Cricetulus griseus: one gene and its partners. The protein of the gene in region 4 interacts with the protein of the main gene of each other region in a pairwise test. Links are inferred from orthologs where the notes say so. Each region holds a gene or a part of one and is shown on either strand. Other genes may lie near its edges. The genes, in order: Rint1, Ppp1r12c, Vps52 and CUNH1orf109.

The links.
Region 1: the proteins of CUNH1orf109 (region 4) and Rint1 interact in binary tests that used the Homo sapiens proteins (3 or more experiments, as listed by UniProt). The two-hybrid records come from large-scale screens. The link is inferred for Cricetulus griseus from reciprocal best matches to the Homo sapiens genes AIRIM and RINT1.
Region 2: the proteins of CUNH1orf109 (region 4) and Ppp1r12c interact in binary tests that used the Homo sapiens proteins (3 or more experiments, as listed by UniProt). The two-hybrid records come from large-scale screens. The link is inferred for Cricetulus griseus from reciprocal best matches to the Homo sapiens genes AIRIM and PPP1R12C.
Region 3: the proteins of CUNH1orf109 (region 4) and Vps52 interact in binary tests that used the Homo sapiens proteins (3 or more experiments, as listed by UniProt). The two-hybrid records come from large-scale screens. The link is inferred for Cricetulus griseus from reciprocal best matches to the Homo sapiens genes AIRIM and VPS52.

The regions. Positions count from the first base shown.
Region 1 is NW_023276806.1:170,797,840-170,803,408, reverse strand, and holds part of Rint1 (RAD50-interacting protein 1), read left to right. Parts: intron 1-2,403; coding exon 2,404-2,603; intron 2,604-5,569. UniProt on the Homo sapiens protein: Involved in regulation of membrane traffic between the Golgi and the endoplasmic reticulum (ER); the function is proposed to depend on its association in the NRZ complex which is believed to play a role in SNARE assembly at the ER.
Region 2 is NC_048602.1:23,163,771-23,169,339, forward strand, and holds the end of Ppp1r12c (protein phosphatase 1 regulatory subunit 12C), read right to left. Parts: coding exon 5,521-5,569; intron 5,449-5,520; coding exon 5,321-5,448; intron 5,213-5,320; coding exon 5,139-5,212; intron 4,675-5,138; coding exon 4,522-4,674; intron 4,440-4,521; coding exon 4,372-4,439; intron 4,081-4,371; coding exon 3,949-4,080; intron 3,789-3,948; coding exon 3,698-3,788; intron 3,583-3,697; coding exon 3,499-3,582; intron 3,428-3,498; coding exon 3,367-3,427; intron 3,216-3,366; coding exon 3,130-3,215; intron 2,148-3,129; coding exon 2,107-2,147; intron 2,030-2,106; coding exon 1,927-2,029; intron 1,838-1,926; coding exon 1,733-1,837; intron 1,553-1,732; coding exon 1,502-1,552; intron 1,417-1,501; coding exon 1,366-1,416; intron 1,289-1,365; coding exon 1,202-1,288; 3' UTR 669-1,201; downstream 1-668. UniProt on the Homo sapiens protein: Regulates myosin phosphatase activity.
Region 3 is NW_023276806.1:232,053,358-232,058,926, forward strand, and holds part of Vps52 (vacuolar protein sorting-associated protein 52 homolog), read right to left. Parts: intron 5,433-5,569; coding exon 5,348-5,432; intron 4,732-5,347; coding exon 4,679-4,731; intron 4,542-4,678; coding exon 4,466-4,541; intron 3,545-4,465; coding exon 3,477-3,544; intron 3,259-3,476; coding exon 3,083-3,258; intron 2,656-3,082; coding exon 2,505-2,655; intron 2,117-2,504; exon of another isoform or gene 2,013-2,116; intron 1,735-2,012; coding exon 1,634-1,734; intron 1,553-1,633; coding exon 1,420-1,552; intron 1,300-1,419; coding exon 1,242-1,299; intron 1-1,241. UniProt on the Homo sapiens protein: Acts as a component of the GARP complex that is involved in retrograde transport from early and late endosomes to the trans-Golgi network (TGN).
Region 4 is NC_048595.1:28,110,367-28,114,964, forward strand, and holds the end of CUNH1orf109 (uncharacterized protein C1orf109 homolog), read right to left. Parts: intron 3,651-4,598; coding exon 3,532-3,650; intron 3,398-3,531; coding exon 3,318-3,397; 3' UTR 1,929-3,317; downstream 1-1,928. UniProt on the Homo sapiens protein: Part of the 55LCC heterohexameric ATPase complex which is chromatin-associated and promotes replisome proteostasis to maintain replication fork progression and genome stability.

The DNA of each region.
Region 1 (5,569 bases), on a different chromosome or scaffold from region 4:
GGATAGAAGAAACGGGTTATGGAATTTGCCTCCAAGGCTAAAGAAAGCCCCTGAGACCAGGCTTGTGTCAGGAGTGTTACTGAGTAGAGGACTAGTAGAGAGGACATTGAGTAAAGCTCTGAAGTTGAAGACTGAATTGCCTTGGAGAACCCAGGAGGTTAGAGATAGAAAAGTTGTGGGAGAGCTGCCAAGGAGAACTGCTAACAGGAGTGGAACCAGCCCAAGAGAAAGAAGTATGTTACAGTCAATAAAACTGAACAGAATTGGAGATATGAAGTGCATCTTGAAATCAGACATGTTGAAGCCTGAGGTTCATGTGTATGTCCATGGACTGGGCTGCTGGTGGGGTCTATGTTGATGACTGAGGTCCATGCTATCAGGGGAGGCCAGATGTATGTTCATAGTCTGCTAATGCAGAGGCCCGTGCTAGTGTCTGTGGTCCAGGTTGCTACTGGAGGCCTGTGCTTGATGCTGATGTGTGGCCTGCACTGCCCCATGAGGCCATGTTGATGGCCATGGTCCATGCTGTTGCCAGAAACCATATGGCAGTCCATGACCTGTGCTCCCACTGACTGTGAAAGGCAAGGAAGCTACTTTTGATGGTGGACACACAGTTGAGAAAGAGAGTCATAGAGAGCTTGTGACAACACCTACCCACCCCCTACCCCACCCCCAACAAAGTAACAGCCTAGATAGTCAGCCATCAAAGAGAACTCTTAAAATTGTGATAAGGAAAAGACAGACATTGTATGTACTCACTCATATGTGGATTTTAGACATAGAGTAAAGGATTGCCAGCCTGTAGCCCAGGCTGCCAGAGAGGCTGGTAAACAAAGAGGACCCTAAGAGACACATACATAGTCCCCTGGAGAAGGGGAAAGGGGCAAGATCTTCTGAGCAAATTGGGAGCATGGGAGGAGGGGAGAGGGAACTAGGAGAATGAGAAGGGGAGAAGAGGAGGGGTGAGGAAGACATGATGGGACAGGGAGGTTGAGTTGGGGGAAGAACAGAAGAGAGCAAGATAAGAGATAATATAATAGAGGGAGACATTATAAGTTTAAAGAGAAATCAGGCACTAGGGAAATGTCTAGAGAGCTACAAAGATGACACCAACTAACAATCTAAGCAACAGAGGAGAGGCTACCTTAAATGCCTTTTCCTGATAATGAGATTGATGACTAATTCATATGCCATCGTACAGCCTTCATCTAGCAGCTGGTGGAAGTAGAAGCAGACACCCACAGCTAAACACTGGATTGGAATCCAGTTGCAGAGAAGGAGGAGTGATGAGCAAAGGGGTCCAGACCAGGCTGGGGAAACCCACAGAAACAGCTGACCTGAACAAGGGAGAGCTCATGGTCTCCAGACTGATAGCTGGGAAACCAGCATGGGACTGATCCAGACCCCCTGAATGTTGGTGTCAGTGAGGAGACCTCAGAAATCTATGGGGCCCTTGTAGTGGATCAGTACTTATCCCTAGCATAGGAATGGACTTTGGGAGCCCATCCCACATGGAGGGATACTCCCTGAGTCTAGACACACGGGGGTGGGCCTAGGCCCTATCTCAAAGAATATGACAGGCTTTGAAGACCCCCTATGGAAGGCCTCACCCTCCCTGAGGAGCAGAAAGGGTATGGGATAGGTAGGGCATTAGTTGGGGGGGCAGGGGAGGAGGGGGAGGGAGAGGGACCTGGGATTGACATGTAAAATAATTTTCTTTCTAATAAAAAAAAGGGGAAAAATTGTGATAAGGATGTTGAAGTGTAGTTTTCCACAATTGATCGATGGCTTTTGGCAGGAATGTGGGAGAACATGCTCCAGTGAGTATATGGGCAACACAAATTGGACTTGTGTGTTTTTGGTTTTTTTGTTTCTTCTTTTTCTTTTTGGTGGGTGGGGGTCACAAAGATGGTGGGAATGGACCTTGGGTGCATTATGTGAAATTCCTAAATAATCAATAAAAATATTTTGTTGGAAAAAAGAAAAGGATAGCCAGATATCTTGGTGCATACCTTTAATCCCAATACCAGGATTTTAGAGGTAGAGGCTAGAGAATCAGGGATTCAAAGTCATTCGTAGCTACATATGAAATTGGAGGCCAGCCTGGGCTCTCAAGCCCTTCTCACCAGAGCTACTAGCTTAAGGAACAGTTGTTTCAAAACATAATTTGCTTTTTTAAAATGAGACATGATTTATGTATAGCAAAACACACAGATCTAGATCTTAAGTATTCTTAAGTATACTGTTGGATGAGTCCTGACATGTTTTACCTTTGTAATCCTTAAGAGTTTAGAAATGGTCAGTTGAGATATTTCATAAAGACAGTAAAGTAGAGCTTTAGGGAAAACTACCTGTGGTGACAGTGCCAAACCCCTTCATGTGTTTTGTAAACGTTCTCCACAGACAGGTATAAGAATCTTCCCACAGCCCCCCGAAAGCTGCAGTTCCTGGAGTTACAGAAGGACCTAGTAGATGACTTTAGGATACGATTGACCCAGGTGATGAAAGAAGAGACCAGGGCTCCACTTGACTTCCGATACTGTGCAATTCTTAATGCCGTGAACTACATCTCAACAGTCCTGGCAGACTGGGCTGACAATGTTGTGAGTTAATGTGCTTTTATATTTCCATAAATAATGTATTAGTGCTGTGATCTTTAACATTTGAAACATTGACTCTGTTGCAAGCAAAAAAATTATGTTAGACAAAAAGCATAATGATGCCAAATTTAGAAAATGTGAATAAAGGTTTATCTCAGTCATATCTAAAACAGTTAAATAATACTAGTTATTTAATAACTTCACTCATTAGAGGGCTGGGGGTATAGCTCAGTAGGAGCATATAATTGCCAGGACCATTGATTGAGAGAAAGAAAGAGATAAAGGAGAAAACTATCAGGTGTCTTAGGTTAGCTGTAATCCCAGCACTTGGAAATATGGATCAGGAGCCTCAAGGTCATTCTTAGTGATGTAGTGACTTTCAGGCCAGCTTAAGTTTCTTGAGGTCCTACTTCAAAAACAAACAAAAGAAAGGAAACAAAGCAAACAAAGACAGACACACAGACTTCCATGAATAGCTATATGGCATGAACCATTTTTCTCTTCCAGCTTTGTACTCTGGAAATAATAATAGGCTAAATGCTAACACAGAAAAGTCATTATTTTATAATGATGTCAAAATCAATAAATTTAAATCAGTGGTAGAGTTCAGTGGCAGAGCATGGTGGAAAGTCCTAGTTTCATTTCCCAGCACTGCAAAGAAGAAAAAAACCTAACACTTGACTCTTTTGGATATCTTCAAAACAGGGCTATCTTAGTTATGGTTCCTGTTGCTGTAATAAAACACTGTGACCAAAAGCAACTTGTAGTGCATCATCCAGGGAGTCAGGGCAGGAACATGGAGACAGGAGCTGATGCAGAAGTCACAGAGGACTGTTGCTTATTGGATTGCTCTCCATTGCTTGCTCAGTCTGCTTTTTTAAAATAGCACCAAGGACCACCAAGCCAGGGGTGATGCCACCCACAAGGGCTGGAACTTCCTACATGAATAATTAAGAAAATGCAGTACAGGCCTGCCCACCGGCACATCTGGTGGGTGCATTATGTATCTGCCACTCTTACTGTTTTTTTTTTTAAAGATTTTTTTTTAATGTGTGCTAGTGTTTTGACTGCATGTAAGTGTGTGTACCTCATATGTGCAGTATCCACAGAGGCTAGAAGATCCCCCCAAACTGGAGTTACAGAGGGTTGTAAGCTACCATGTGGGTGCTGGCCACTGAACCTGGATCCTGTGAAAGAGTAGAAAGTGCTTTTAACTCCAGACTCTCTCTCCTTCTTACACTACTGGGTCCTGTGAAAGAGTAGTAAGTGCTTTTAACTCCAGACTCCCTCTCCTTATTCAAATCACTGCAGTATATGTTCAAACATTTAAGGTTTTTTTTTTTTCAAGATAACGTTTCTCTGTGGCTTTGGAGGCTGTCCTGGAACTAACTCTTGTAGACCAGGCTGGTCTCGAACTCACAGAGATCCACCTGCCTTCTGTGTGCTGGGACTAAAGGCGTGTGCCACCACCGCCCTGCCACATTTAAGTTTTAATCTTGTTATTAATCTAAACAAAATATATTGGCTGTTAGCTAAGTAATGGTAACCAGGTTTTCTGGTATGCATTCCACTCAAATATGCCTTGAGGGACTGAGGCTGTGGCTCAGTTTGTAGAATCATTGCCCCTATGCATAAGCCCCGGGTTTGATTCCACACAGCATAAAGTGGGCATGTGGCAAAGTCTGTGATACCAGCACATGGGAGGTAGAGGCAGGAAAATCAGAAGTTCTAGGTTATCCTCAGCTGCACAGGAAGTTCAAGTTTAGCCTGGGGTACATGAAATCCTCCCTCACAAAACAACAACAAAAGCCTTTATAGTTTCAACATTGGTTAATTTCTCTTAGATACTTTAGATCCAGTACTAAAGTGATTTCAGAGGGCCTGTGGGCTGACTTCTTGGGCAGGGTGCTGTTTATCTACATCCATAGATGTTCTAAAACTGAGATAACAGCTATGCATTTGGCTTTATACTTGTGTATAAGTACATAAAGTACATTTCATGACAGAAGCCATTCATAAGGATCTTAGATAACCATGCGATGGTGAAATATCCACTACACTGTAAAAACTATGATGAGCAAATAGGCACATTATAAACGTAAGCTGTTATATATCATAAAAACAAAATAGGCAAAAAACCCCAAATAGACAGATATACCACTTAAAAATATAGTATGTATAGGGGAATTAAAAAAATGATACGTTTGAGGTTAGGATTTAGCTCAGTGGCAGAGTTCTTGCTTAGTACAAATGAAGCCCTAGATTCAGTCTCTTGTAGACCAGGCTGGTCTCGAACTCACAGAAATCTGCCTGCCTCTGCCTCCCGAGTGCTGGGATTAAAGGCATTGGCCAACACCGCCTGGCTACATAACAAGATCTTAAAACAGTACAAAAAAGAAAACAAACAAAACTCTTACATGCACCAAAGCCAAAACAAAACCCAGACAACAAACCCACACAAAACTGCTACCAGTGTGCATGGAGAGAGCTTTAAGCCTCTGTATATGGCAGGTGAAGATGTAAGCTACTGCAGCTGCTGAGGAAGACAACCTGGCAGTTCTTTAGACAGCAAGATGGAATTAAAAATCCAGCAGTTCCACTCCTCCAGACAGGCAAAGACAAACAGGAACACCATTTCTCACAGAAAAAATGCACACACCATTGTTTTCAGAAACATTAAGCATAAGAGATACAAAATAGAAATAATCCAAACATCCAGCAGCTAGTGGAGTGGATAAAATGTAATATGTTTATATGATGGAGTATTTGGGGGTAATAAAAACAGATGAAGTACATAGTACATGCTATAGAACTAAGTGAAAGAAGTTGGTCATAAAGAATAATACTTCATTTGGTTCCATTTCCTTAAAATGTCCAGAATTGTCAAAACCATAGACAGAGAGTAGATTAGTGATTGCTTAGACTTGAAGGGAGTGTGGAGAAAATGAAAATACAGGTAATGAATGAGG
Region 2 (5,569 bases), on a different chromosome or scaffold from region 4:
CCCTATAACCCACACCAGCCATACCACACACCACATATACACAGTTCACCTCAGACAGCATGGCACACCACCACACACACACACACACACACACACACACACACACACACTCCGCACTCTCCCCTTCTCCACAGCACTGTAGCTGAAATCCACACAGTGGCAACCTTCCTCAGTGCACTGGCTGCTGGACCAAGCTGTTCACTCCTGTGACGCCAGCTGGCAGAACAGCCCATTCCTGACTGTCAGGATGGAGGAGGCACCACGCGATCCATCTCAAGACTGATTCCTGGCTCTGCCCCAGTCACTGTGGCCACGAAGGACTACTTACCATCACCTACTCCTTTCCCAGAAAACCTAGACTTGCAGTTTCCTATGTTGGCCATCCTACCTTTTCAATGTTAAGCCACTGACTCCGCTCACTTCCAAAGCACTGAGGGTCAATGTGAGCACCCGGATCAGGTCACAGGCTTCCTTCTGACCCCCCCTACCTCACCTGGGGCTCTTTCTCTCCAGCTGCTCACTCGAGCAAACTCCCCTCCCCACACCTGTGAGCAAGCTCCCAGCCACCCACTGGCCCTCATCCAAATGGATGAGCGGTTTCAGTCAGATACACAGGCTGAGTATACAAGCAGGAACCAGTGCCCCACACCCAGGGGGAGACAAGTCACTGAGTGGCAATGTCACGACTTTATTTGTGGTGCCTGTGCTTTGTCTCAAAAATACCTTCTCCCCCTCCCCAGACAATGGGTGGGAAGGAGGCAGCAAAAATAGAAGACAACCCTCCCTATTGCACACGGACCCTATATACAGGCCCACCTGGCAGAGGCCAGTGGGGCTCTTGGCACATTCCTGGATCCCTGCTGGGGAGGGAAGGGATACTGGGTAGCATCACACGTGAGGTGGGCCCGGGGCAGCCACTCTGCTCCTGGATACTGATCCTGGCTTCCTTGGTCCTTGCTTCCTTCCTGGTCCCATCTCTGGTGCCTGCCCACTCTCGGCAACATTTCCCTACCTGGCTCAGCCTCCCACCTCCACCCTGGTTCTGGGGACTCTGTGCTTTCCTCCGGGTTCTGAGGTCCCGAGAGGAGGTTATGGCTTCTCAACAACTTCCCCCGGAGCCCTGTCACTCATGTTCACTCGGGGGAAGGGGTGCGTGTGTCAAAAGCAGCTGTATAAATACGGTGCGGGAGCCCCTGCAGAGTCACTTGGAGAGCTTGCTAATGACGCGGATCAGTGCTGCATTCTCATCCTTGAGCCGCTGGTTGTCAGCGCGGAGGTCGGACAGGGCCTAGGGGGCAGGGTGGAGTCAGCTGGGCAGGGCGGGGCAGGGTGGGCTCTGGCCACCGCCCTTCACAAGCTCGTTACCTTCAGCTCCTCCTCCAGCTCTGCGGCCTTGCGCTCCAGGGCCCTGCGCTCCTGCAGGAATGGGCTGGGCTCAGAAGCAGGGTAAGGGCAGGGGACAGGGCAAGGGCGGGACACCACCCCAGCGGCCCAAACTCACGAATCTCTCCAGCTCCAGGAGGGCGGGCCTCTCGGCAAAGCGTTCCTGCCGCTGGTAAGGGCAGAGAAGACTGGGCGTCAGGAGCTGCTTCTTACCCCTAGGACATCAGAGCCCTGCCCCCCCCCCGGGGTGGGGGACCTCCAACCTCCCAGCCACGGCCAGGCCCCTTGCCACTGGAGCTCTGACTCCCACTGCCCCCAACAGCTGGTTCTTAGGTCTCAGTATCTGCACCTGCGTGGCCCGCTCAAGCTCCACCTTGAGCTGTGCCAGCCGCAGGGTGGTCTCTGTCAGGGCCTCACGAAGCCGCTCGTTCTCCCTCCGAAGCTCCATGTACAGCTAGGGACACAGAGGAAGCAGGCAGGCTCAGAAGGGCCCGGGAAGGGGCCAGGACAGGGTGGGGTGGGGCAGGAGGTAGCATGCGGCACCTTCCGGAAGCTTCCATCGGGTTCTTCCTGTTCCTGCTTGGATTCTGGATTGAGGTCTCTCTGCAAACGCTGTCTACGGGCAGTGGAGCCGCCATCCACGGTGCTGGACAGAAGCCACAGGCCTTAGGGCCCAGGCCCTGCCCGAGGGGTGCCCCAGCCCCCACGCATGACCCGGCCTACCTGCACTCCAGGCTCCGTTCTGCCGGCCCCGCCTCCTCCCCCTGCAGAAGAGCCCTGAGAGTTCAGTCTCCATGCAACGTCCTCCCTCCAGCCCGCCCGGCCTCCACACAGCAGCATCCTCACCTCCGCGGCCCTCCCTCCAGCCCACCCGGCCTCCACACAGCATCCTCACAGAGCATCCTCACCTCCAGGCATCCTCAGCCCTGCAGCATCCTCACCTGGCATCCTCACCTCCACCTCCCTCCAGCCCGCCCCGGCCTCCACACAGCATCCTCACCTCCGCGGCCCTCCCTCCAGCCGCCCCGCCTCACAGCATCCTCACCTCCATCCACACAGCATCCTCACCTCCGCGGCAGCCTCAGCAGCCCGCCCGCCTCCACAGCAGCATCCTCACCTCCGCGGCCCCTCCCTCCAGCCCGCCCCGCCTCCACACAGCACCACCTGCGGCCCCTCCCTCCAGCCGCCGCCTCCACACAGCAGCATCCTCACCTCCACACCGCCTCCACACAGCATCCTCACCTCCGCGGCCCCTCCCTCCAGCCCGCCCGCCTCCACACAGCATCCTCACCTCCGCGGCCCCTCCCTCCAGCCCGCCCCGGCCTCCACAGCAGCATCCTCACCTCTGCGGCCCCTCCCTCCAGCCGCCCGCCTCCACACAGCAGCATCCTCACCTCCGCGACCCCTCCCTCCAGCCCGGCCTCCACACAGCATCCTCACCTCCGCGGCCCCTCCCTCCAGCCCGCCCCGGCCTCCACACAGCATCCTCACCTCTGCGGCCCCTCCCTCCAGGCCGCCCGGCCTCCACACAGCAGCATCCTCACCTCCGCGCCCCTCCCTCCAGTCCGCCCCGCCTCCACACAGCATCCTCACCTCCGCGGCCCCTCCCTCCAGCCCGCCCCGCCTCCACACAGCAGCATCCTCACCTCTGCGGCCCCTCCCTCCAGCCCGCCCGGCCTCCACACAGCATCCTCACCTCTGCGGCCCCTCCCTCCAGCCCGCCCGGCCTCCACACAGCATCCTCACCTCTGCGGGCCCCCTTCGCTCGTGGCCGACCTTTCGATGCTCCCTGGCCGCCTGTGGTCCCTGGCCCTGCCCGTCGGGCGCCTCTGCTGGGGAACCAGTGGGAATCAGCTCAGACACCACCATAGGGGCCCCTGTCTACTGTGCAGGGAACCTGACTTAGCCCCCAGTGAACAAAGACACTTTATGGGGAGACAGGATGGCTCCTTGGGGAGCGACTTCCCAGAAAGCCGACCTCACCTCTCTGGGCAGGGCCCTCAGCGTTCTCCACGCCAGGGACCCGAGGTCTCCGAGAAGGGTCCTGCCGGGGAGGAGCACAGTCAGAAACAGGGAGACGGGTCCACCCGCCCCAGTTCACCTGACCCTGCTCACCAGGCTGGGCAGGGCAGGCTGCTCTGGCTCTGGAGCCTTCCCTGCCACCTTCTCTGCTTCCTTCAAGTCTGTCAAGGTCACGCCCTAGTGTAGAGAACTCGGTCAAGGAAAAAGGGCCTAGACTTCCACAGGACTCAAGTTCAAGACCCCGGCCCTCCTCCCTCAGACCCGGGAGCACAGCCCCAGCCCCATCCCACACCTGTGTAGACCTCCGAGACTGGCGCATAAGGCGGGAGCGAGCCTTCCGCTGAGACTCGGACTCTTCATCACGCACAGGCATCTGGTAGGACCTGAGTGGAGAATGTCCCCTTGGGTGCTGTCGCACTGTGAATGACACCTTAGGGGAGTGCACATTCTGGCAGAGAACGTGTCAACTGGGCAAACAGGACCCCAGGAGCCTACCCAGAGCCCCAGAGACCCCTAAACACTGTCTTCCCCTAGCCTCTTTACCTCCGCCGATCCCTGGAGTCAGGTAGGGCTGCTGCAGAGGCTACGAGGGCATTTGGCTTCACTGGGGATCCAGGCTCCCTCCTGGAGGATGGGGCGGAGTGATCCGAAGAAGGAGGCATGGCAGCCTCACACCTGTATGGATTCATTCATTCATCAGCAAATATTCCTCAAGCCCGCATTCTGTGTCAGGCATAGGAGAGACCACAGAGAAGGAGCCAATCATGGCTGCTGATGAGCCATTTCTGGGCAAAACAGATAAAACAAACAGCAGCCAAAGAGACCAGTGTGGAGCTTGGGGAGAAAAGGTGCTTGGAAAAAATAAAGAGAATAAGCAATTATTTGATGCACCCTAAGGGCTTTCTCAGATCTCAAATGCCAGGATGGCACCAGACCTGTGCCCCTGCCCCAGCCACTGGTACTTACAGGGTAGAGGGCTCTGGCACTTTCTGGGCAGGGGTAGGGGTTATTCTGGCAAGACGGGGTTCCCTGGCCTGTGGAGACAGGAGAGAAGCAAAGGAGGCACTGTCTGCCCCAAGGCAGGAGCCTGTACCCCACACACTTCACGGCACCTACCTGAGAGGAGGCCTTTTCTAGGAGGGAGGAGGAGGCTGAGCGCTGCAGACCGAGAACCCCCTCTGCACCCCTCCTCTCTGAGGGACCCAGGGCACCAGAGCTTCCTGTCTTCTGGAGACCGCCGCGCCTGGAGAAGGGAGCCTCTTCTGGCGGCTGGGAGAGGAAGAAGGTCTTCATTACTGAGCAAAGCAATGACCCTTCTCCTCAGAGCCTACGCGTGTAACTCCAGGGGAATTACAGTAAACCACAGCCAAAGCAATGACCCTCCTCCTCAGAGCCTACGCGTGTAACTCCAGGAGAATCACAGTAAACCACAGCCAAAGCAATGGCCCTTCTCCTCAGAGCCTACGCGTGTAGCTCCAGGGGAATTACAGTAAACCACAGCCAAAGCAATGACCCTTCTCTTCAGAGCCTAAGAGTGTAACTCCAGGAGAATTACAGTAAACCACAGCCCAGGCAGGTGCCACCAAAAAAAAAAAAAAAAAAACATTACTTCTTGGTCCACAAGGACCTAAGAACCAAGTCAAAAAGCCACCTTCCTCAGCGGAAGCAGAAGTATTTACCGTATCCCACCCGCTGCCCCAAACCTCACATCTGCTCAGGGCGCTCAGGCTCACCACAGGGCTCTTGGGGCTGGAGGACACAGGAGAAGACACGCCATTGAGGGCTCTTGGTTGCACAGGAGGGTGATCTGTGTGCAGGAACAGGAGAGGGGGGTCACAGGAGAGGCCGGCCGCCTCTGAGATTGGGGACCCACAAGTCCAGCTCCTTCCTCAGACCCAGGGTCCAGCATCCCTACCAGCTGCCTCTTCTTCTCCCTCATCCTCATCCCCAAGAGAGGGGCCCGCGGCCCCACCAGGCCGGCGCTCCTTCGACAGATCCTGCAGGGAGATCTTCTCACGGCTGCTCAAACGACACACGGAGCTCCTAGGAGGACAGGGTGTCCGTGTCCAAGTCTGGGGGCGAGTCCGACCCACCCCAGGCCTAGGCATCTCTTACCTTCTGTGCTTGCTGTTGGAGGGCACCTGTGGCTCTTGGCCTCGGCTCT
Region 3 (5,569 bases), on a different chromosome or scaffold from region 4:
GCCAAGACCTGAGCACTCTGGGAAGCTAAATATGAGCTGGACATCCCTTCCAGAACCAGGGCCTCGCTTCACCTGATACCTGTAATGGGCGTCAGGGATTCTACAAGCCCTCCGAAATCCACGTGAAAAACTGTCAGAATGATGTGAGCCTCTGGGAGGGGAGCTCTCGCTCTCTCTCACATCCTCAAAGGTTACATCCCAGACACAGGGTAAGCAGAGGCCTGTGGGCTGGAGCCAGGCATCCCCACTGTGAGCCTGACAGGAGGTGAGCCTGACTTGAGGGAGGTGAGCCTGACTTGAGGGAGGTGGAGCCTGACTTGAGGGAGGTGGAGCCTGACTTGAGGGAGGTGGAGCCTGACTTGAGGGAGGTGGAGCCTGACTTGAGGGAGGTGGAGCCTGACTTGAGGGAGGTGGAGTCTGACTTGAGGGAGGTGGAGTCTGACTTGAGGGAGGTGGAGCCTGACTTGAGGGAGGTGGAGCCTGACTTGAGGGAGGTGGAGCCTGACTTGAGGGAGGTGGAGCCTGACTTGAGGGAGGTGGAGCCTGACTTGAGGGAGGTGGAGCCTGACTTGAGGGAGGTGGAGCCTGACTTGAGGGAGGTGGAGCCTGATTTGAGGGAGGTGGAGCCTGACTTGAGGGAGGTGGAGCTTGACTTGAGAGGGGTGGAGCCTGACTTGAGGGAGGTGGAGCCTGACTTGAGGGAGGTGGAGCCTGACTTGAGGGAGGTGAACCTGACTTGAGGGAGGTGGAGCCTGACTTGAGGGAGGTGGAGCCTGAATTAGGGAGGTGGAGCCTGACTTGAGGGAGGTGGAGCCTGACTTGAGGGAGGTGGAGCCTGACATGAGGGAGGTGGAGCCTGACTTGAGGGAGGTGGAGCCTGACTTGAGGGAGGTGGAGCCTGACTTGAGGGAGGTGGAGCCTGACTTGAGGGAGGTGGAGCCTGACTTGAGGGAGGTGGAGCCTGACTTGAGGGAGGTGGAGTCTGACTTGAGGGAGGTGGAGTCTGACTTGAGGGAGGTGGAGCCTGACTTGAGGGAGGTGGAGCCTGACTTGAGGGAGGTGGAGCCTGACTTGAGGGAGGTGGAGCCTGACTTGAGGGAGGTGGAGCCTGACTTGAGGGAGGTGGAGCCTGACTTGAGGGAGGTGGAGCCTGACTTGAGGGAGGTGGAGCCTGACTTGAGGGAGGTGGAGCCTGACTTGAGGGAGGTGAGCCTGACGCGAGGCTCCCTGGTCCAGGATATCTTTCTTTGCTGTGTCTTCCACACCCATCAGATCGTCCTTCTCAGCAACTTCCTCGTACTAGAGAAAACAACAGAGAGCTCAACCATGGCTGCCCACCACCAGCAGGTGAGGAACTCAGTCCCTCCTCCAAGCCCCTGCCTACAGACACCTGTCCCCGCCTGTCCCTGCCTGGCTCACCTGCACTTTCATGAGCCGCCCCAGATAGGAGCGGAAGTAAGACAGGTAGATCTTGCTCAGCGTCTCCACGTACTCATCCCTGATCTCCTTGGCTGTTGCTCGCTCGTTGCCCAACAGGAACTGATAGAAGAACCTGGAAGGGCCAGGGCGAGTCAGACCCTGGACATCCATGCTGGGCCGTTAAGAAGCTCACAGGCCGTCCCGGGGTGGCGACCTGTACTTCAGCAGGGCCGTCTGGGGGATCTGATAGTTGGTCATCGGCTTTCTGAATGAATAAATCTTCTGGAGGATGAACTCTCGGATCTTCGTCACCGCCTAGGTGAGGGGACAAACAGGTCATGATGTTGTGGGCTCTTACTGTGTGGAGGAAGGAGGAGACAGACGTGACGGCGAAGGGGAGGGAGAGAATACTTCCGATGTGTGCTGTGTTATTATTTATTTACTTTTGTTGAGTCGGGGTTTCTGTGTGTAGTCCAGGCTGTCCTGGAACTCACACAGGTCCATCTGCCTCTCCCTCCCCAGTGCTAGGGCTAAAATGTCTTACCACCATGCCTGGCCTCACATTTTCAGGTTATCTGTTTCTTTTTTCCCTTTTAAATATGGAATGCTTTATCAATTTTTGTGTCCTTACACAGAGGCCATGCTAATCTTCTCTGTAGTGCTCTAATTTGAGTTTCTATGCTGCCAAAGCCAGCACTGTTTGGTTTTGAGACAGAGTCTCATGTACCTCTGTACACACCGGAAGTATTCTCTCCCTCCCCTCCACGGTCCTGTCTGTCACCTCCTTCCTTCCTTCCTCACAGTAAAAGCCCACAACGCCCTGTGCCGCAGAGATCACTCTGAAGCTTCAGATCTTCTTCCTGTCATCTCATGAGTTCTAGCACAGTAGACAAGGGCCACCATGCCCATGTTTGCAGAGCTGGGGGTGGATCCCAGGGCTTCGGGCGCCCTAAGCAAGCCCACTACCCGCTGAGCCACAGCTCCAGCCTCTGTAGATTTTCAGGGAAACCAGAGGGCCAACGATGCCCCGCACTGAGGGGAGCAGAGTGAGTTCCTGGGGTTGATTCTAGCGGTCCCCTCCCCACCTTGACCCGGAGCCGGTCCAGCACGCCTCTGACGTCTGCGCAGGCCGCTGTGCCTCTGGCCTCCTGCTCTCTGACCGCAGCTGCCTTGGCGTCCAGTTCCTGCAGCTGTTCCAGAAACCTGGGCTCTGTCACTGGAGCTTCCAGAATGGCTCTGCAGAGCAGGGAGGAGAGGGGTGATCTGAAGGGGCACTCGACAGTCCTGAAACAGACGCAAGCCACACCCCTCCTGACATGTCTACCTCTCCTCAGTCTCATACCTTCATCATAGGTACGAAGATTTCAACTCCTGAGCCCCACCTCTCCACAGGCCCCGATACACATCTGACATTATAATCCATCCATTAATCTCTAGAATGCACCTTTTTTTTTTAGAAGGTCCCACTCTGTGGCCCAGGCTGGTGACTTGCAGCAATCCCCCTGCCTGACCTCCCAATCGTGTGCTTACAGGCTTGAGCCAGCACACCTGGTACCTAAACAGCACTTGACAACCTCAGCCTGGACCTATGTTGTAGACTGGATAGGTACCCCAGCTCAACCACCTGCTCTGGACATCACGACCCTTCAAACCATCGACTCACGTGACCAGAGTAGAGGGCACCACCAGCCCATCTACAAGTTCCCCAAGCTTCCCCCGAACAGCTTGTCGATTACGAAGACGGATGTTCATGGCTCCTGACTGCTCCTGAAGGGTCCGGATCTCAGAGCTGATGGAGCTCAGGTCGCTCTGAAAAGCTCCCAGCATCTGCTCCATGCGCTATGGGAAGGGCAGAAAACACTGTAGGCATGCCACAGGGTTGGCAGGGACAAGTGTGTCACCCAAGTGTCTGAGTGAATACCCCAGTATCCAACAGCTCAGGAGCATGGAAAACCTCCATTTGCCCAAGGAAACAAAAGTGCTGACAAAACAAAAAAACAAAACAAAACAAAAAAAAAAACAGAGGGTGTCAGGGGCCACAGGGGAGGGACACCTACCTCCAGGACAGCGTCGCAGGCTGTGATCTGATTGTGCAGGGACGCTATGTTTTCACTCTCTTGGATGTCTGACCCACAAAAGTCAAGGGCTTCACAGTGAACACAGAGCTCTGAGGACCAGCATCGCCTCCCCCTAGTGTCCCCAAAGGGACCGAGAGAGATGCCACCCTACCGGGTTACCTGCATCACAGCTCCCACACCCCAGGTCAGTGACAGCGCGTGTCTTCCCCTGTGCGTTGGATACAGTCCCGGGGTCCCACACCCCAGGTCAGTGACAGCGCGTGTCTTCCCCTGTGCGGAGGATACAGTCCTGGGGTCCCACACCCCAGGTCAGTGACAGCGCTCTCTTCCCCTCTGCGGAGGATACAGTCCCGGGGTCCCACAGCCCAGGTCAGTGACAGCGCGTGTCTTCCCCTGTGGGGAGGATACAGTCCCGGGGTCCCACACCCCAGGTCAGTGACAGCGCGTGTCTCCCCTCTGCGGAGGATACAGTCCCGGGGTCCCACACACCCCAGGTCAGTGACAGCGCGTGTCTCCCCTCTGCGGAGGATACAGTCCCGGGGTCCCACACCCCAGGTCAGTGACAGCGCGTGTCTTCCCCTGTGCGGAGGATACAGTCCTGGGGTCCCACACCCCAGGTCAGTGACAGCGCTCTCTTCCCCTCTGTGGAGGATACAGTCCCGGGGTCCCACAGCCCAGGTCAGTGACAGCGCGTGTCTTCCCCTGTGGGGAGGATACAGTCCCGGGGTCCCACACCCCAGGTCAGTGACAGCGCGTGTCTCCCCTCTGCGGAGGATACAGTTCCGGGGTCCCACACACCCCAGGTCAGTGACAGCGCGTGTCTCCCCTCTGCGGAGGATACAGTCCCGGGGTCCCACACACCCCAGGTCAGTGACAGCGCGTGTCTCCCCTCTGCGGAGGATACAGTCCCGGGGTCCCACACACCCCAGGTCAGTGACAGCGCGTGTCTTCCCCTGTGCGGAGGATACAGTCCCGGATGGATTTCTGCTCAATATGCTGCAGCTCCAGCTCCACCTGCTTGGAATAGTGTCGCAGATCCACACCCTGGGGGAAACCAGGAACAGTCAGGATGAAGCCACAGTGAAAGGACACCAGAACAGACTCAGTGACTGGCTAGAGGGGACACATAAGACCCCGAGGAGAGGAGGGCGGGGACAGATCGGCATAGCGGAGAACCTCACCGTTTTGAGGGCTTCCTTCACTAACTCATCCTCCAGATTTGCCTGAATGTGAACTGGAAACAGACATTCATCACTAGGGTCCGGCGCCACGCCCCCCTCTGCCAGCATCAGGTACCCGCACACCAATCTCCCCTTTCCTTCCAGCCCCCATCCTCTCAAGGTAAAAGAACAGTCGCTTTGACTTTCTGCTGTTTCAGTTCCTCATAGTCTAGTCAACCACAAGCCAAAAATATTAAATGGGAATTCCCAATCGTGGCTCGGAGGCTTTAAAGTGTGTGGCACTCTGAGAAGCTGAAGGGCCTCTCACCCGCCTTGGATTTATTTGGATTTTCTTTGCTGGATGAATCTATGGTGTGTGTGTGGTACGAGTGTCCCAGAGATCAGACTGGCTGTCTGCACATGTCCATGTTCAAATACACACTTTGTTTTTTCTTAATAATCCCAAAGAGCAAGACTGTCAATGCAGCAATTTATCACAGTGGGCTGCATCATTACCCCACTCTTGCTATGCCTAAATTAGAAAGTAACCCTTCTCATTCAACTTTACACTACATTAGTAAAAAACATGCAGGGGTTAGTATGGGGGGTCACCTAGTGGGGGTCCTCTACTATATTCCTAAAGGATAAAGGGGGCTGGCTACTTTGCCCCCACCCCATGCCACCACTTACCATCCACTTCATCCAGGATGAATTCATCAGAGGTGATATCCAACTCCCCAAGTTGCAGGGGCTCTTGGAGACCAGAAACACCCCCCTGAAGAGGGACAGATTAGTGAGTGCGAGATACAGAAAGAAACGCTAGAAAAAAAACAAGGGCATATCCCTGCTCCTGAAAGTGGGTTGAGGGCGCTTTTTCAGGGGAGCCATAGTTAGTGGGTCAAAGATCCTGAC
Region 4 (4,598 bases):
CAAATTCCAAGGTACAGTGGGAAAAAAACAGATATAAAAGTGGGTATATGTAGCCGGGCGTTGGTGGCACACGTCTTTAATCCCAGCACTCAGGAGGCAGAGGCAGGCAGATCTCTGTGAGTTCGAGGCCAGCCTGGTCTCCAGAGCGAGTGCCAGGATAGGCTCCAAAGCTACACACAGAGAAACCCTGTCTCGGGGGGAAAAAAAAAAAAAAAGTGGGTATATGTCACTATATTCACTAAAACAATGAAAAAAACAAAACTCAAAACTGTTGTTTCCTATGTCAGCTATATGCTGCTGTGGGAGGAAAGTTCCCTTAAGCATACATGATTTAAATAATTTTTCCACTTGCATGTGCCAGGAATCCAAGCACAGCTCTGCTGGCATTTTTAGCTCAGGTCCTTATGAGGCTAGGCTGTCATGTGGAGCTGTGGACCCGTCTAAAGGTTCAACCAGTGCAGGGAGGACATTTCCAAGCTCCTTCACATGGTGTTGTCCAGCACAGAACTCTCCCATGTCTCTCTACTAGGTGGAAATACGAAGTTTTGGCTGACGTCCCCAAAAGTGGGAGATGTAAGACAGAGCAAGGGGCAGCAGCCAAGACAGAAGTGTGCTCTTTATAGTCTATTCCCAGAAGTGACTCTCACTATTCTACCCATTAGCAGCGGAGCTACAGAGAGGCCCCCATCAAAAGGCAAGGAGTACACAAGGCCATGAATATTAGAGGTGGGGTCACCAGGGACCACTTCAGAGAATACCCACCATTCCAGAGACACCAGAGCACTTAGCAATGGCTGTCTGCAATGAAGAGAAGTGGGCAGATGGGGGAAAATTTTTCACTAAATATATCTGTGTACATTTTACACTTTAGGTTATGTGTACCTTATTCAACAAGTAAATCATATTTATTTTATCCAAAATAATGAAAAGGTTGTCATTTTAGGGACTGGAGAGCTGTCTCAGTGGTTTAGGGCACTTGCTGTTCTAGCAGAAGACTCAGGTTCAGTTCCCAGCACCCACATGGCAGCTTACAACCATCTATAGCTTTAGTTCTAGGAGATCCAAAGCCCTCCTCTGGCCTCCACAGGCATCAGGAACTTAAATGCATTCTTAGTAAAAGAAAAAAAGAGAAAAGATAGCATTTTTAGTAGAAAAACTAAGAGTGAAGAAAACAGCCAGGCTGTGATGGTGCACGCCTTTAATCTAAGCACTCAGGAGGCAGAAGCAGGTGGATCTCTGTGAATTTGAAGCCAGCCTGGTCTACAGAGTGAGTTCCAGGACAGATTCCAAAGCTACAGAGAAACCCTGAAACCCTGTGGGAAAAACAAAAAACAAATAAACAAAAGAGTGAAGAAAAAAAGAACAATTCTATTTAAGTAAGTTATTACCAAACACCATTAAGTATCTGTTTCAAACAAAACTAAACAAAGCCACTTTCTTTTTAAATGTATCCATCCTCTGTATTAAGTCCTGTTCATGGCAGCCTTGACTTCTACCAGCTGGGATCCCAAGGCAAGTGGCCACTGCACAGAGGGTGAGTATGGCTCTGATCAATGACTCAAGGCTGCTTCTCAGCTTATTTCCTGTTACTGTGTATGATGGCCAATCTTGGCTGTCAACTTGACCACAGCTGGAATCAACTAAAACCCAAAACCCACGCAACTGGGCATGTCTGTGAGGGATTTTCTTGACTGGATCATTAGGGGTGGGAAGACCCACCCTAAATCTGGATCATTTGAGGTGGGAAGACCCATCCCAAGTCTGGACCACATAAAAGCACATGGAAGAAGAAAGCTTTTGCATTAGGCTTGCCTGCCCTCCCTCTCACTCCAATATCCCCCTCCCTCCCTCTCTTCCCCCCCATATATATGTATGTATTCTATCAGTTCTGTTCCTTTAGAGAACCCTAAAACACAGACAAGTGCAACTGAAGGGAGAAAGGGTTTATTAGGCTCATAATTTGAGGGTACAGTCCATCATTGCAGAAACATCAAGGCTGCAAGCACTTGGAGCAGCTGGTCACATGACACCCATGGTAAAGAACAATGGATTAATGCATGTCTGCTAGTGCTCAGCCTGCTCTCTCATTCCATCTAGGGCCCAGCCATGAAATGACACCACATTCAGGATGGCTCTTTTCACCACAATTAAGAAAATTCTGCAGGCTTGCCTGCAGGCCACCCAAATCTACAACATTCCTTGTTGAGACTCCCTCCCCAGGTCAAACAATCAATCACAACTAACAATCAATGGCATATGCCAACTAATCAGCTGGCATATTTGCCTACCTGAGCAGTCACTCCAAACCCAGAAGAATATAGCCAATGAGAGGTCACAACCCTGGATCTGAGTAGTAGTATCACTCTTCTCAGTTAACTTCTTTCTTTCCCGCTTTTCTTTTTCCTTTTTTTTTCCTTTTTTTTTTTTTTTTTTTTTTTTTTTGAGACAGCACCTCAGTATGTAGTCTTGGTTAGTCTGGAGGCTATGTAGACCAGGATGATCTCAAAATCACAGAGCTCACCTGTATTTGCCTCACCAGTGGTGGGTTTGATATTCCCAGCACTAAGTTACTTTTTTTTTTTTAACTTTATTTAACTTATTTCTTTTATGTGCATTGGTGTGAAGGTGTCAGATCCCCTGGAGCTGGTGTTACAGACAGTTGTGAGCTGCCATGTGGGTCCTCAAAAGCAGCCAGTGTTCTTAATTGCTGAGCCATCTCTCCAGCCCCCCTCAGTTACTTTTAACAGCAACAGGGGACCTCTCCAGGACAAAGCATTCAGAACCGCTCACGCTGCACCATCTCCCCCTGGTGGCTGGCTTTGGAAATGGAAATTGGCTTGATTCCTACTGGGAAGGGATAAACATTTTAAATGCTCCCTTTCCTTCAATCCGTCCCTTTTTTGGATTGAATCGGGCTTCATGTGTGCAACACACACACTGCTACTGCCCTTCACTCCTAGACCCACTCCTATCTTTAAACCACTAAGGACTCAAGATAGTGATACACACATAACCAAGACCTGAGTCAACCAAAGTGCTTCAGCTGACGCAGAGGCGGAGGCAGCTGTGGACCTTTGCCTCCTGTCCTTTCCTTCCTTGCCACTTCAAGCCTACTGATAGCGATGGACACCGCTTATCAGCGCTGCCTTTCCTGTTTCCTCCACCCCATCCACCTCCCAGAGCCGCAGGTGCAGTGGTCATGGATCCTTGGCCATGGCCTAGCAAGAAGTCATGCTAGGGACCTCTACCATAGGAACTGGTGTCTCAGTCCATCAGGCTGTGGTGCTGAGGTTCACTTAGAAAGCTGAGGGCTGCACTCAACTGCGGGACTCCTGATCTCCAGACACTGTGCAGCATCCTGGCTCCTCCAGGAAGAAGGAGACGCTCACCAGGATATCTAGAACAGGAAGAGGGGTACAAGACAGGGTTATTAAGGCCCCAAAGCACAGCAGGGTTGTCTCTAACACCTCCAAAGAGGCAAGCAGCAACAGGGATAGGGAGGCAGCATGGGGAACTAATGGAAACCAGTACCTGGCACAAGGGTTTGGCACTCATCTTCTGAAATTTGGTTCCAGGCCTTAGGCAGTGCTTGGATGCTGGCCAAGTCTCCCCAGTGGATGGAGGAAAGGAGGTATTTTCTCTTCAGGTACCTTCCCAGAAGTTAAGGACTGTTCAAAAAAAGGAAATCTGGGAAGCTAAAAGTGACATCAATATACCTTCCCAGGTGGGCAGGGTTCACCAGTGCCAAGAGGAATGATGAGCACCAGTACCGCAGTACAACTTGATGCTACTAGGAAAGGGACTCGGATCTCACAGGCTGAGGGTGGACCAGACAGAAGAGCAAAGTGACTTGAAAGATAAAACTCAGTGACAGGGGACTGGAGTGATGGCTCAGTGGTTAAAAGCATCGACTGCTCTAACAGAGAACACAAGTTCCCAGCACCCACATGGCAGCTAACAGCTATCTGTAACTTCAAGATCTGAGACATACATGGTTATTAAGACATACATGCCGGCAAAATACACAGACATACATGCAGGCAAAACACCAATGCACATAAAATAAAAGTAAATACATTATTAAAAAAATAACAAAACAAAACAACTCAGTGGCAGTTCTAGTCAGCTGTAGAGGCCCACGCCTTTAATCCCAGCACTATTTAGAGAAATCAAAATGGTAACAAACACAAAAACAAAAGTCTGGCAGTTCAGATGAACACACCACTGGAAGAAACAGAGAAACAAAGGCACAGGGCAGAGGAAGCATGGAGTGGACTGGCACTGCAAGCCTCCCAGTGTCCTGACACGGTTGGCTAAAGTAGAAAGTAGTTGAAAGGTGGCTTCAGCCAGTATAAAGGCAGCAGTGGAGGACAAGGTAGGGATTCTGAGCCCTACCCCACCAGCAACAGAAGAGCTGACAACTCCTGGTTGAACACAACTAGACCTAGACCTCATGAAGATGACTGTGGTACATAACCACAGACAGCTCAGAGAGAGAATCTGGAGATAGAGGAAAGTCAGGAGGGGATACAGGATTAAGCATCCATGCCAGGGGCTGCCAAGATGGTTCACTGGGTGAAGGTGCTTGCTGCCAAATC